3 linked regions of the Mus musculus genome follow. Each later gene encodes a partner of the first gene's protein in a complex. Links are inferred from orthologs where the notes say so. Each region holds a gene or a part of one and is shown in the gene's direction. Other genes may lie near its edges. The genes, in order: Pard3, Prkcz and Cdh5.

Region 1 (3,652 bases):
CTTAATCAAGCTCATGTTATCTTCTGCTCTGCTGGTCTTCATTTGCTAATCTTCCACTCTTTGTCAAATGCAGAGCACAACATATGTTCCGCCAAGCTATGCGTGCGCGTGTCATTTGGTTCCATGTGGTCCCTGCAGCAAACAAGGAGCAATATGAACAACTGTCCCAACGCGAGAAGAACAACTACTCCCCAGGCCGCTTCAGCCCTGACAGCCACTGTGTGGCCAACAGGAGTGTGGCCAACAATGCCCCTCAAGCATTGCCCAGAGCACCCAGACTGAGTCAGCCACCCGAGCAGCTGGATGCTCACCCCCGACTACCTCATAGTGCTCACGCCTCAACCAAACCACCCGCAGCCCCGGCCTTGGCTCCACCCAGTGTGCTTAGTACCAACGTAGGCAGTGTGTACAACACGAAGAAAGTAGGCAAGAGGCTCAACATCCAGCTTAAGAAAGGTAGGATGCATTTAGTCGCATTTCTTTAAGAAGATGAGCAACTACTTAAAGAGAGTACCTTGGGTACTGAGGTGGGGATAGGTGTGTTCCTTTGTTGTTATCTTCCTCTGTGAAGTGTGTAGTGCTCAGAATAAAGCCCAAGGCTCCCTGTTTGCAGGATACTCTGCCCTGATCTTTATTCCTACTCAACCTTAAAACACACAAAGGGCTATGGAGATGGATTTGGTGGTAAAGTGCTTGTTGTAGATGCATGAGGACCTGAGTTCAGATTCCCAATATTTACATAAGAGCCAGGCATTGATGGGTTGGGGGGTGGTTGGGAGGGGGGCAGGTGGCTTTCTATGCGACTAACCAGTCTAGACACACTGCCAAGGTCCAGGTTCAGGAAGAGACTGTCTCGAAACATAAGTCAGAGAATGTTTGAGGAAAACACTGCACTCTAACCTCTGGTCCACACACTCTCACACATACACACACACACACACACACACAGAGAGAGATACATATGCAATTGCCTACATATGTGTACACATAAATGGACAAGAAATATGATTAAAATGTAAAGGTTCAGAAGAAGTTACAACACATGTTTACAAGAATTAGCTATTATTCCTAGGGTAGCATTTTTTTTTTTATACTAAAAATTGGTTACAGGTTTTCCTTCAATGTCTAGAATAATAATGGAGGTCTGACTGTCTTGATTGGCCAAGACATTGCATTCAGTAGGATGTGAGAGGTCTCTGTGTAGTCTTCAGCATGTCATAGGAAAGGGCACCTATGTTTGAGTTGTCTGTTTGCTCTTTGTTTTCTAAAATATTACTTCATTTCCTTGATGGTGACAGATAATGGTGATGGGTGCTGCTAAGTCTTCCCCACTTTCAGTGATTGACTTATGTAGCTCCTTCCTGTAGGTGACAAATAAGTGCGCATGGGAACATGGCAGATCCATGTACATGGGGTCATGCTTACAGTTAGTCTTCTCTATTATGCAGAGTGACAGCCACACTTGACCTTCAGATGGCCAATGGCATTCTGTCAAGGATAAGACACACTTTGCTTACTGTGTATTCTTTTAGCTGAGCATTTCAAAACCGTGCCTTTCAAATTATAGCTTTATTTAAGAAGAAAATGCCTTTCTGAGCTCAGCCGGCTCCAGTAGGGGCTGGAGAGCCGTCCATAATGACTAACTTGTGCTGGGCCGCTGTGGATGGCAAACCCTTGCCCGCATGTCTTTCATACTGTGGCATTCAGCTCATTCTCCTTTCCATGGGGGTAGCACTGGAAATGCTGTGCACCTGCTGTCTCCTTCCTCGAACAATTCTTTCACTGAACTTTGAGCCATAGCTTCTGATGATTGGCTTTTTGAGCCACCAATACTTGATTGGCACAGACAGGACTTGACACCGTGCTTCTACGCTTTGCAAGCTGTATGGGAAGTGCGCTGTTTTCTGTCTATTGTCAGGGAGGGGATGGTCCAATTCACATTCTCCTCTCTCCACTCAAGTGACAGGCTTTGGGTTTTAACCAAAAATATGTCAAGTGCCACAACAGTGGTGTATGAAAAATAAAGCTCCCGCTCCTATTCCCTAGACAAAGACGGTATTCACTTAGCCAGTGTCTGACTACTTCATAAATAATACTATTTATAACATCATACGTCTCTTTACTGAAGGAGGAACATTCATTCAATCAATTGAAGTTTTGCACAAATAATAAGTATGACAAATTATGATGTAAGGTGGGCTCATTCATTGAGGGTCATTTTACTTACTATTAAAGGAGTCAATATTTTCTTAGTGTTTTAATAATATTAGCTTTGCTTTGTATCATTTAGAAAGATGGAAGCTGTTTATTAGACTAATTCAGGAAGTCTAATCTTCATTCATAAAAGAAAATTGAAAGTGGTGGGTTTTATTTAAATCTTTCTCAGATTTTTGCTAATCTGAATGATGCAGCATCCCATAGATTTATATTAATTTTTGTTAACCAGCAGAGAAGATATGCAACAGAAGTGGCTGCTGCCTTTACAGCAGTGCCTACAGATGTTTTACATAAACAGATTGTGTTGACTATACTTATGAAGGAAGTGAACATTGATTGTCTTTGATTAGGACTGAATACAGATATGGCCATAATGATTGCTTTAGAATTAAACATTTCCTTGTAGCTGGAAAATTATGGTTTTTCTTTACCAGTTCTTGTAACATTGAGGGACTTTTATGAAGCCCATTAAAAATAGTGTGATCATGTAAAATATATGTTCAACTCAAAGTAAACCTTTGTGCTCTAAGTGATATTAATTTGCAAGCTGGAGTCAATGCTTTGTACTAAAAAGAGAAGTCTCTGGGATGATCACTCACTGAAATAATTTTGGAACTCTGTCACATGAGGCTACAATACAGAGAAGCCCCAACTCACTTGCTTCAATAATTATGATTTCTTAATATTTATTACTGCTCTGGCATTCTCAAATCCCCTGCTCTTTTGTAGAAATTAGCTTTTTAATAAAGCGAGAGGAGAAGGTTAGTAATCTGTTTCCATCAGAGCAGAATGTCTTGTTGGCTTCACCAGATGAAAATTGACATCTATTTATCTTTCCCTTAAAGGTCATTGCCTGAACTTCTGACTCATAGATTTAGGGGTTACTGCTGTTATTTTAATAGAATTGTGGTTCATATAATAGTCCATCTTTGTTGTTTGTATGAATTAATATTGCCAAAGAGAATAATTTAAAATCCCTTCTTAATAGATGTTATTGCCAGCCATTAGAGTCTCGTGAAGGCACAGAGACATATGGGACAGCCTCAGAAGAATAATTAGTAAAATTCATACAGACAGCTTGCCATTCAAGGCTTCAGGACAGACAATAGCAGAAACCTAACAGTCAATCTGAACGTGGTTTCCGGTTGGGCATAGAGGGTTTGGTCTGAGCCTGAGAATGTTTCTGGCGTGTTTCGTTTCAGGAACTACTGAGATTCATTTCTGTTCTTTTCTCTCTTCAACTCATAATTTTTGGTCAGCGTTCTCGAGTGTTACACATTTTGATTCATTTTTATGTGAACCCCGTGTCACGCTCGGCTACTCTTCTCCACTCTTGACCCCGTGTGTCTCTTCATCCTTCTCACCATGGCCATCCCTTTGACATCCTATTAACTGAAACGTAGCCCAAGAAGTAAATGCTCTCAAATAGAAATTG
Region 2 (3,652 bases), on another chromosome or scaffold:
TGATACCCAGCTACTGGCAGTTACCTTCAGTTGAGCCTGGCTCCTCCTCATTCTCTTCTCTTTGATCCATACAGACCCTCTCTCAGCAGATGGGTTCCCGGAGTCCATCCACATACAGAGACAAGAGCAGTCAACCCTTAAACCATGTTCCCCTGAGATGCTCACCTGCCCTATATCTGACTGGGCACCTACCCCATGGATCCTCTCTTTGTTCATCTAAGCCAGGATGGCTCACAACTCTTTGTTCTCCCCTTATCCCATGCTCCATCAGACGTTCCTGTGCTCCCTTAGTCCTCCCCTTGCTCCATCAGTTCTCTCTGTGCTCCATCAGTTCTCTCTGTGCTCCCTTAGTCCTCCCCTTGCTCCATCAGTCCTCCCCTTGCTCCATCAGTCCTCTCTGTGCTCCATCAGTCCTCTCTGTGCTCCATCAGTTCTCTCTGTGCTCCATCAGTTCTCTCTGTGCTCCATCAGTCCTCCCCTTGCTCCATCAGTCCTCTCTGTGCTCCATCAGTCCTCTCTGTGCTCCATCAGTCCTCCCCTTGCTCCATCAGTTCTCTCTGTGCTCCATCAGTTCTCTCTGTGCTCCATCAGTCCTCTCTGTGCTCCATCAGTTCTCCCTGTGCTCCATCAGTTCTCTCTGTGCTCCATCAGTCCTCTCTGTGCTCCATCAGTCCTCTCTGTGCTCCATCAGTTCTCTCTGTGCTCCATCAGTCCTCTCTGTGCTCCCTTAGTCCTCCCCTTGCTCCATCAGTTCTCTCTGTGCTCCATCAGTTCTCTCTGTGCTCCATCAGTTCTCTCTGTGCTCCATCAGTCCTCTGCTTCCTCTTTGGTCACTTTTTTCTCCTATCCCTAACTCCAAGGCCTCTGGCCTTCATCTCTACCTTATGGTGACTTTTTTTAACCCCTAAAACAGACCTAGCACCATTGGGAACACAGAGATGAACAGATAGGTGAATGAACACCCAACTCTATCTCTTTGTTTCTGTGTTTATTTATTTGTTTTTTTTTCCCCCCGAGTCACGGTTTCTCTGTGTAGCCCTGTCTGTCCTAGAACTCACTCTGGAGCCCAGCTGCCTGCCTCTGCCTCCCAAATGCTGGGATTAAAGGAATGAGTGTACCGGCACTGTCCAGCCTAAGTCTATTCCTAATTTTCCAAAAACAGTGTCCTACCTTGGCATCATGTGATGAAGCCACACCCATCATCCAACATGGTCTTGGACCCCAAATGTCAATCTGAAACCATGCGTCACACCTCACTGGTCCAAACGTCAAACTCAGCCTCAGCCTCCCTTTCACCTTGAGGTTTTCCCTGACCCCAGGAGCTCCCAGGTACCCCATCACCTCTTTGTTTTGTTCACTTACAAATCTCTGTAAGAGGCAGCCGGTCAGCACCCAGGGGTGACTCAACCCAAAGCTAAAAAAGCGACCCCCGCGGAGGTTCCATGCACTCTGGCCTTTTGGTGGTGACCTCGCCTACAGCATGTTTCGGGTTTTGGTTCCTGACCCGTTGCCCTTCTCTCCTGCCCAGGTTGTTCCTGGTCATCGAGTATGTCAATGGCGGGGACCTCATGTTCCACATGCAGAGGCAGAGAAAACTTCCAGAGGAGCATGCCAGGTGAGTCCATGGCCGGGGACTTCTCCTCAGGAGGCCAGCAGGGAGAAGAGGGGGGCAGATTTGGGCAGAAGGTGGCAGAGATGAGAGCTTCCCATGGTATAAGACAGTCCAAACCCTCAGGGGGAATCTTGGGAGCTTTGTGCCCAGGACTGGTCCCTCTCCAGACTTTGAGCAGAAGGCCCTCACCCAAGACGAGTGGCTCCCCAGCTGTTTGGTTTGGCTCTGTCCTCTTCCCTTAAAGTCCACGTTCCCTCAGCAGTAGAGTACAGCAGGCCTTCACTAGCATCAGGAGAGGCTCCCTGGTCCCGTCTCTGGCCTTGAACAGCTGCCATCCAGCCCCCTGTCCTCGTGCTTCCCCTGGATGGCCCCCTCCTCCGTAAATTACCTTAGTTTTCCCCACGAAGTCCTGTGAGTCACCGAGGCCGCTTTTGGGGAAAGTGGGCAGAAACTCAACAACAGCTTCTTGCCCGTCCACTTGCTTTTTATAAAACTCATGGTTAAACGCACACAGCGTTCATGTTGCCGTGTTGGCCAGATAGTTCAGTAGATAGTTAAGTGCCAGGAAGTTGATTATCACACTGCTGTGCAGCCACCACCACACATAGAGCCCCTTTATGTCGCACACTGGAACCCTGCTCCTGTGAATGCCGACTGCCAGGCTCTTCATCTCCGGCCCTCCTGTCCGATTCCAGAGAGCGCCCCAAGTATCTTCTCGTATATCAGACTTGGCGTGATGTTGTCTTCATGATTCACCACATAGCCTTTCCTTTTGAAGGTTGAGGTGTCCAACCCAGTGCTTGAGACCCCCACTTCTGATTCTTTTCTCCTTCCAGTTTTTAAAATCCGCATACAGGGTAACGGATCTCATAGAGGCGTTTCCTCATATCCACTGTTCTTACTGGGCCTCCTCCACTGTCTCCAGCCTCAGGCATACTGTGTTAGTGGCATTGTTTGATACACACCACTTTCTGGTTCTCATGCTTATTCACTTGTTTGTTCTGGTGCTGGGGACCATACTTATGTAAGCAAGGCAGGAGCTTTCCCACTGAGATGCACATGGCCCTAGCTCTCATGTTCTGAGGGACCTTCCTCTAGTCACATTTTTCATTCTCACCTACTATTCGTGCGATGTCCAGTGTCCCATGTTCCCTTCACTTACTCTGGCTGTGATAAGTAGCCATTCTGGTGGGTGGGAGGTGGAATCTCACTATAATGTACATTTGCATTCCCCTGTGACCAGGGATACATTGTGGGGCTCTATGTGTACCAGCCTCTGGCTGCCTGCCTGCCACCGTCTCCCTGCTGACTACAGAATTCCCCCCCCCCAATACCTCAGGTTCTATGCTGCTGAGATCTGTATCGCTCTCAACTTCTTGCATGAGAGGGGGATCATCTACCGGGACCTAAAACTGGACAACGTCCTCCTTGATGCCGACGGACACATTAAGCTGACGGACTACGGCATGTGCAAGGTGCCCGCCTCACCTGTCCCCCAACTCGATTGTCTGCCCTTGACACCCCGCAGGAGTATTCACTGATGGGGCATAGCTCAGTGGTGACCAAACTGAGGCACCCCTGTCTGTAACTTAATGTCAGTGTTCCTAAGGAGAGCTGCTTCATGTGAGATTTACCTTCCTGGTAACTGTCCCCACAGGAAGGTCTAGGCCCCGGTGATACAACAAGCACTTTTTGTGGAACCCCGAACTATATCGCCCCCGAAATCCTGCGAGGAGAAGAGTACGGTGAGTGTGAGCCACGAGGGAGGTAAATGTAGGTGGACACCTTCCAGAAGTCTCCCCCAGCTGGTGACATTCTTCACTCAGAGCAAGAACCTGTCTGGCCCACCCTACAGTGGCCCTGGCAGGGAGATATATGGCCAAATTATACCCAAAAATAACACAGAACACCCCTCAGGGTTTCCCAGCTGGTTACCCGTTGCATACTCCCTGAGGCCCACCAGATGACACTGAATAACATTCCTCTCTCTGAGGAGTCCTAAGGCCAGGGAGGAGAAAAAGGAACATGAAGCAACGACAA
Region 3 (3,652 bases), about 23 Mb from region 1:
TGTGTGTGTGTGTGTGTGTGTGTGTGTGTGTGTGTGTGTATGTGTGATAATACAAAGAGACAATTGTCTTATCTATCTCATTAACTCTTTGCGGTATCCTATGCACATTAGCCACATACACATTTTCGGTGCCTGAAGACATCCGAGTGGGCAAGCCCTTGGGCTTTCTGACTGTTGTGGACCCAGATGAGCCTCAGAACCGGATGACCAAGTACAGCATCATGCAGGGCGAGTACAGGGACACCTTCACCATTGAGACAGACCCCAAACGTAACGAGGGTATCATCAAACCCACGAAGGTACGTAGACCTGCAGAACCGAGCCCATTCATGGGCTATGGAGTTTGCAGGATCCAAAAGACATGCTCAGGGATCACTTCTGAGCCACAGGTCATTGAAGGCAAAGGTTCTGGTACAGCTCAGAGCGGGCCACGAACTCGTGGAGACTGTAACCCACAGTCTCAGCCTGAATTGTTCCAGAGATAGAGGCAATACTTTGGGTGTGACATGTTTCTTTGGGCCGTAATCCCTAAAAGCCTCAGGAGCAAGGATAGGTGGCAATCAGTGATGAACAGGTTCGAGTGGGGCCCAGACCCATAGGGGCTATCTAGAGCATGTCTCAGAGTTGCCACAGGAAGATCAGGCTCTGGAATAAGCAGCCACAAACCCTGCAGCACTCACAGACAACACTTGTTCTAGTCTCATTTCTCATATTGTGATAAAAATAACCTTGACCAAAAGCAACTTTGGAAAAGGGGTGTATTCGATTTACAATTCCAAGCTGAGTCCATTGTTATGGAAAAGTCACAATGGCAGGAACTTGAGACAACTGGTCGCATCACATCCGCGTCAAAAGCAGAAGGAAATGAAAGCACGCATACTTTCTGTCTGTGGCTTTGGCTATCAGTCAGCTTTCTCCTCTCATACGGTTCAGAACCAGGCCTAGGGAATGGTGCTCCCCACAATGGGTTGGGCCTTCCTACACTAATTAACAATCAAGATAACCACCCCCCACCCCCCACCCCCACCCAAACAAGCCCATATGTAACATGATCTAGGCAATCGGTTCCCTTCTCAGGTGATTTCAGATTAAACAGCAAGGTGACACTTAAAAACTCACCAGCATTAACTCCCTGTGTCCCAACAGTAGAAATCTATCATACTGACAGGATGGATCATCTTTTCTAAAACAATAAAGACTTTGGAACTGGGGGAAAAAAATAAAAGAAATCTATCATCATATATGTAAAGAATGTATACCTGAGGGCACAAGTAGCCATGGACAGTGGCTGCTGCAGGCAGCAAATGGTCTGATCGACTGAATCCAGAAGAGGGAGAGGAGCTTTCATGCTTCCAGGATTTTCAGGTAGAGGACTGAGAACACACAGCCAGCCAGCAGAGTCCACAACGCTCTCAGACAGTAGGGAAGATAGACATACAAACAACAGCAACAACAAAAAGCTGTAACTGGTATATCCAAGGCTGCAGAATATTGCCAGAGAAGAAGGTGTTACTGTCTAGAGTACTTTCTGAGAGGGTCTCTTACACCTGCTCAATAGCAAACTGCTACCCCTTCCTCACGATGAACAGGAAGAAAAGTTGCTAGGCAGACAAACCCAGGAGGAGTCTCTTCTCAAAACCAGGAAAGGTACTACTACCTTTGAATAGAACCACTAGGTCATTGCCCCCTTGAGAGGAGGACTGGGCCTAAGTGTGTCCTTGATTCATAGAACAGGACCAGGTACAGAGGCGGGGCCGGTAAAACGAGAAGCACTAATATCAGTCACCATACTTCTCACCCATGCAGTCCCTGGACTATGAAGTCATCCAGCAGTACACATTCTACATTGAGGCCACAGACCCCACTATCCGATACGAATACCTGAGCAGCACTTCAGGCAAAAACAAAGCCATGGTCACCATCAACGTCCTAGATGTGGATGAGCCCCCTGTCTTCCAGCGACACTTCTACCACTTCAAGCTGCCAGAAAACCAGAAGAAACCGCTGATCGGCACTGTGGTGGCCAAAGACCCTGACAAGGCTCAGCGCAGCATCGGGTATGGAAGTGGTGGGTGTGAGGTGATAATGCCATGGTGATCCTGGCATCGGCATTCTTATGCCTGATGGTCTGAGATCAAGGCTCAAGGGAGGACACTGTCTCCCAGAACCTCCATGGAAAGATGCTGAGGCTAGACCCTGGCTCTTTCCACTCATATCCTTGTCCCGCCAGCTCCTGTCTTGTCTATCTTGTCTGGTCCAGGCCATCCTCTGTTCTTTAAAGGACTTTAGGCCTTGACTCACATAGCTCCTGTCTAATGAGGTCATCAAGCAGGAATGGGTTATCTGAAGCCCTGTCACCAAAAAATAGTTTCGAGATATTTCTCCCAAGACAAAAAGCCAGAGTGTTGCTTTCACTTGCTGAAACCACACACTTCTATAAAGAGATCTATGGTAGTTCCCGCTCCCATCTGGTCCTCAAGTAGGCTGAGTGTTCTTTTCTTCATGGCCACATGAACCAACTGATGCACAGATGCTGTGTTCGTTGTTCCTGTTTGTGGTTTTGCTGCCATTTGCTTTGGATCATGTTCTGCACAGTCCGTCAATCCTAGCCCGTTTTCCATTGTTACAACTTCGTAGCGTGGGCTGGATAATTTATGAACTGCAGAGCTCTATTTATCTTAAGGGTCTACAGGCTTGGAAATCCAAGGGCACAGTGCCAGCACCTGATTGCCATCTAATGAGGTTTTGCTTGCTGCAACATGGGAAGACCTAATGAGCTTGGCAGTGTAGGTCTTTCTTCATCTTCTTATAAAGCCACTAAGCCACCATGGGGGCCCATCCTCATGACCTAATCCTTTTTTTTTTTTCCATTTTTTATTAGGTATTTAACTCATTTACATTTCCAATGCTATACCAAAAGTCCCCCATATCCACCCACCCCCACTCCCCTGCCCACCCACTCCCCCTTTTTGGCCCTGGTATTCCCCTGTACTGGGGCATATAAAGTTTGCAAGTCCAATGGGCCTCTCTTTCCAGTGATGGCCGACTAGGCCATCTTTTGATATATATGCAGCTAGAGTCAAGAGCTCCGGGGTACTGGTTAGCTCATAATGTTGTTCCACCTATAGGGTTGCAGATCCCTTTAGCTCCTTGGCTACTTTCTCTAGCTCCTCCATTGGGAGCCCTATGATCCATCCATTAGCTGACTGTGAGCATCCACTTCTGTGTTTGCTGGGCCCCGGCATAGTCTCACAAGAGACAGCTACATCTGCGTCCTTTCAATAAAATCTTGCTAGTGTATGCAATGGTGTCAGCGTTTGGATGCTGATTATGGGGTGGATCCCTGGCTATGGCAGTCTCTACATGGTCCATCCTTTCATCTCAGCTCCAAACTCCGTCTCTGTAACTCCTTCCATGGGTGTTTTGTTCCCAAATCTAAGGAGGGGCATAGTGTCCACACTTCAGTCTTCATTCTCCTTGAGTTTCATGTGTTTAGCAAATTATATCTTATATCTTGGGTATCCTAGGTTTGGGGCTAATATCCACTTATCAGTGAATACATATTGTGTGAGTTTCTTTGTGAATGTGTTACCTCACTCAGGATGATGCCCTCCAGGTCCATCCATTTGGCTAGGAATTTCATAAATTCATT

Evidence for each region.
Region 2: Pard3 (region 1) and Prkcz share a complex: the UniProt entries of both Homo sapiens proteins name them as parts of the par polarity complex. The link is inferred for Mus musculus from reciprocal best matches to the Homo sapiens genes PARD3 and PRKCZ.
Region 3: the proteins of Pard3 (region 1) and Cdh5 are in contact, whole or in part, in an NMR structure (PDB 2KOH), measured with the Mus musculus proteins. Residues at the interface, in NP_296369.2 of Mus musculus: Ala599, Gly600, Leu601, Gly602, Val603, Ser604, Val605, Lys606, Gly607, Arg609, Lys611, Lys622, Ile625, Asn655, Gln656, Met659, Arg663, Met666; in NP_033998.2 of Mus musculus: Tyr774, Gly775, Asp777, Gln779, Glu780, Glu781, Leu782, Ile783, Ile784.

The regions. Positions count from the first base shown.
Region 1 is NC_000074.6:127,371,423-127,375,074, forward strand, and holds part of Pard3 (partitioning defective 3 homolog), read left to right. Parts: intron 1-73; coding exon 74-456; intron 457-3,652. UniProt on the Homo sapiens protein: Adapter protein involved in asymmetrical cell division and cell polarization processes. Seems to play a central role in the formation of epithelial tight junctions. Targets the phosphatase PTEN to cell junctions.
Region 2 is NC_000070.6:155,270,904-155,274,555, reverse strand, and holds part of Prkcz (protein kinase C zeta type), read left to right. Parts: intron 1-1,528; coding exon 1,529-1,615; intron 1,616-2,951; coding exon 2,952-3,087; intron 3,088-3,269; coding exon 3,270-3,357; intron 3,358-3,652. UniProt on the Homo sapiens protein: Calcium- and diacylglycerol-independent serine/threonine-protein kinase that functions in phosphatidylinositol 3-kinase (PI3K) pathway and mitogen-activated protein (MAP) kinase cascade, and is involved in NF-kappa-B activation, mitogenic signaling, cell proliferation, cell polarity, inflammatory response and maintenance of long-term potentiation (LTP).
Region 3 is NC_000074.6:104,129,101-104,132,752, forward strand, and holds part of Cdh5 (cadherin-5 preproprotein), read left to right. Parts: intron 1-111; coding exon 112-299; intron 300-1,806; coding exon 1,807-2,057; intron 2,058-3,652. UniProt on the Homo sapiens protein: Cadherins are calcium-dependent cell adhesion proteins. They preferentially interact with themselves in a homophilic manner in connecting cells; cadherins may thus contribute to the sorting of heterogeneous cell types.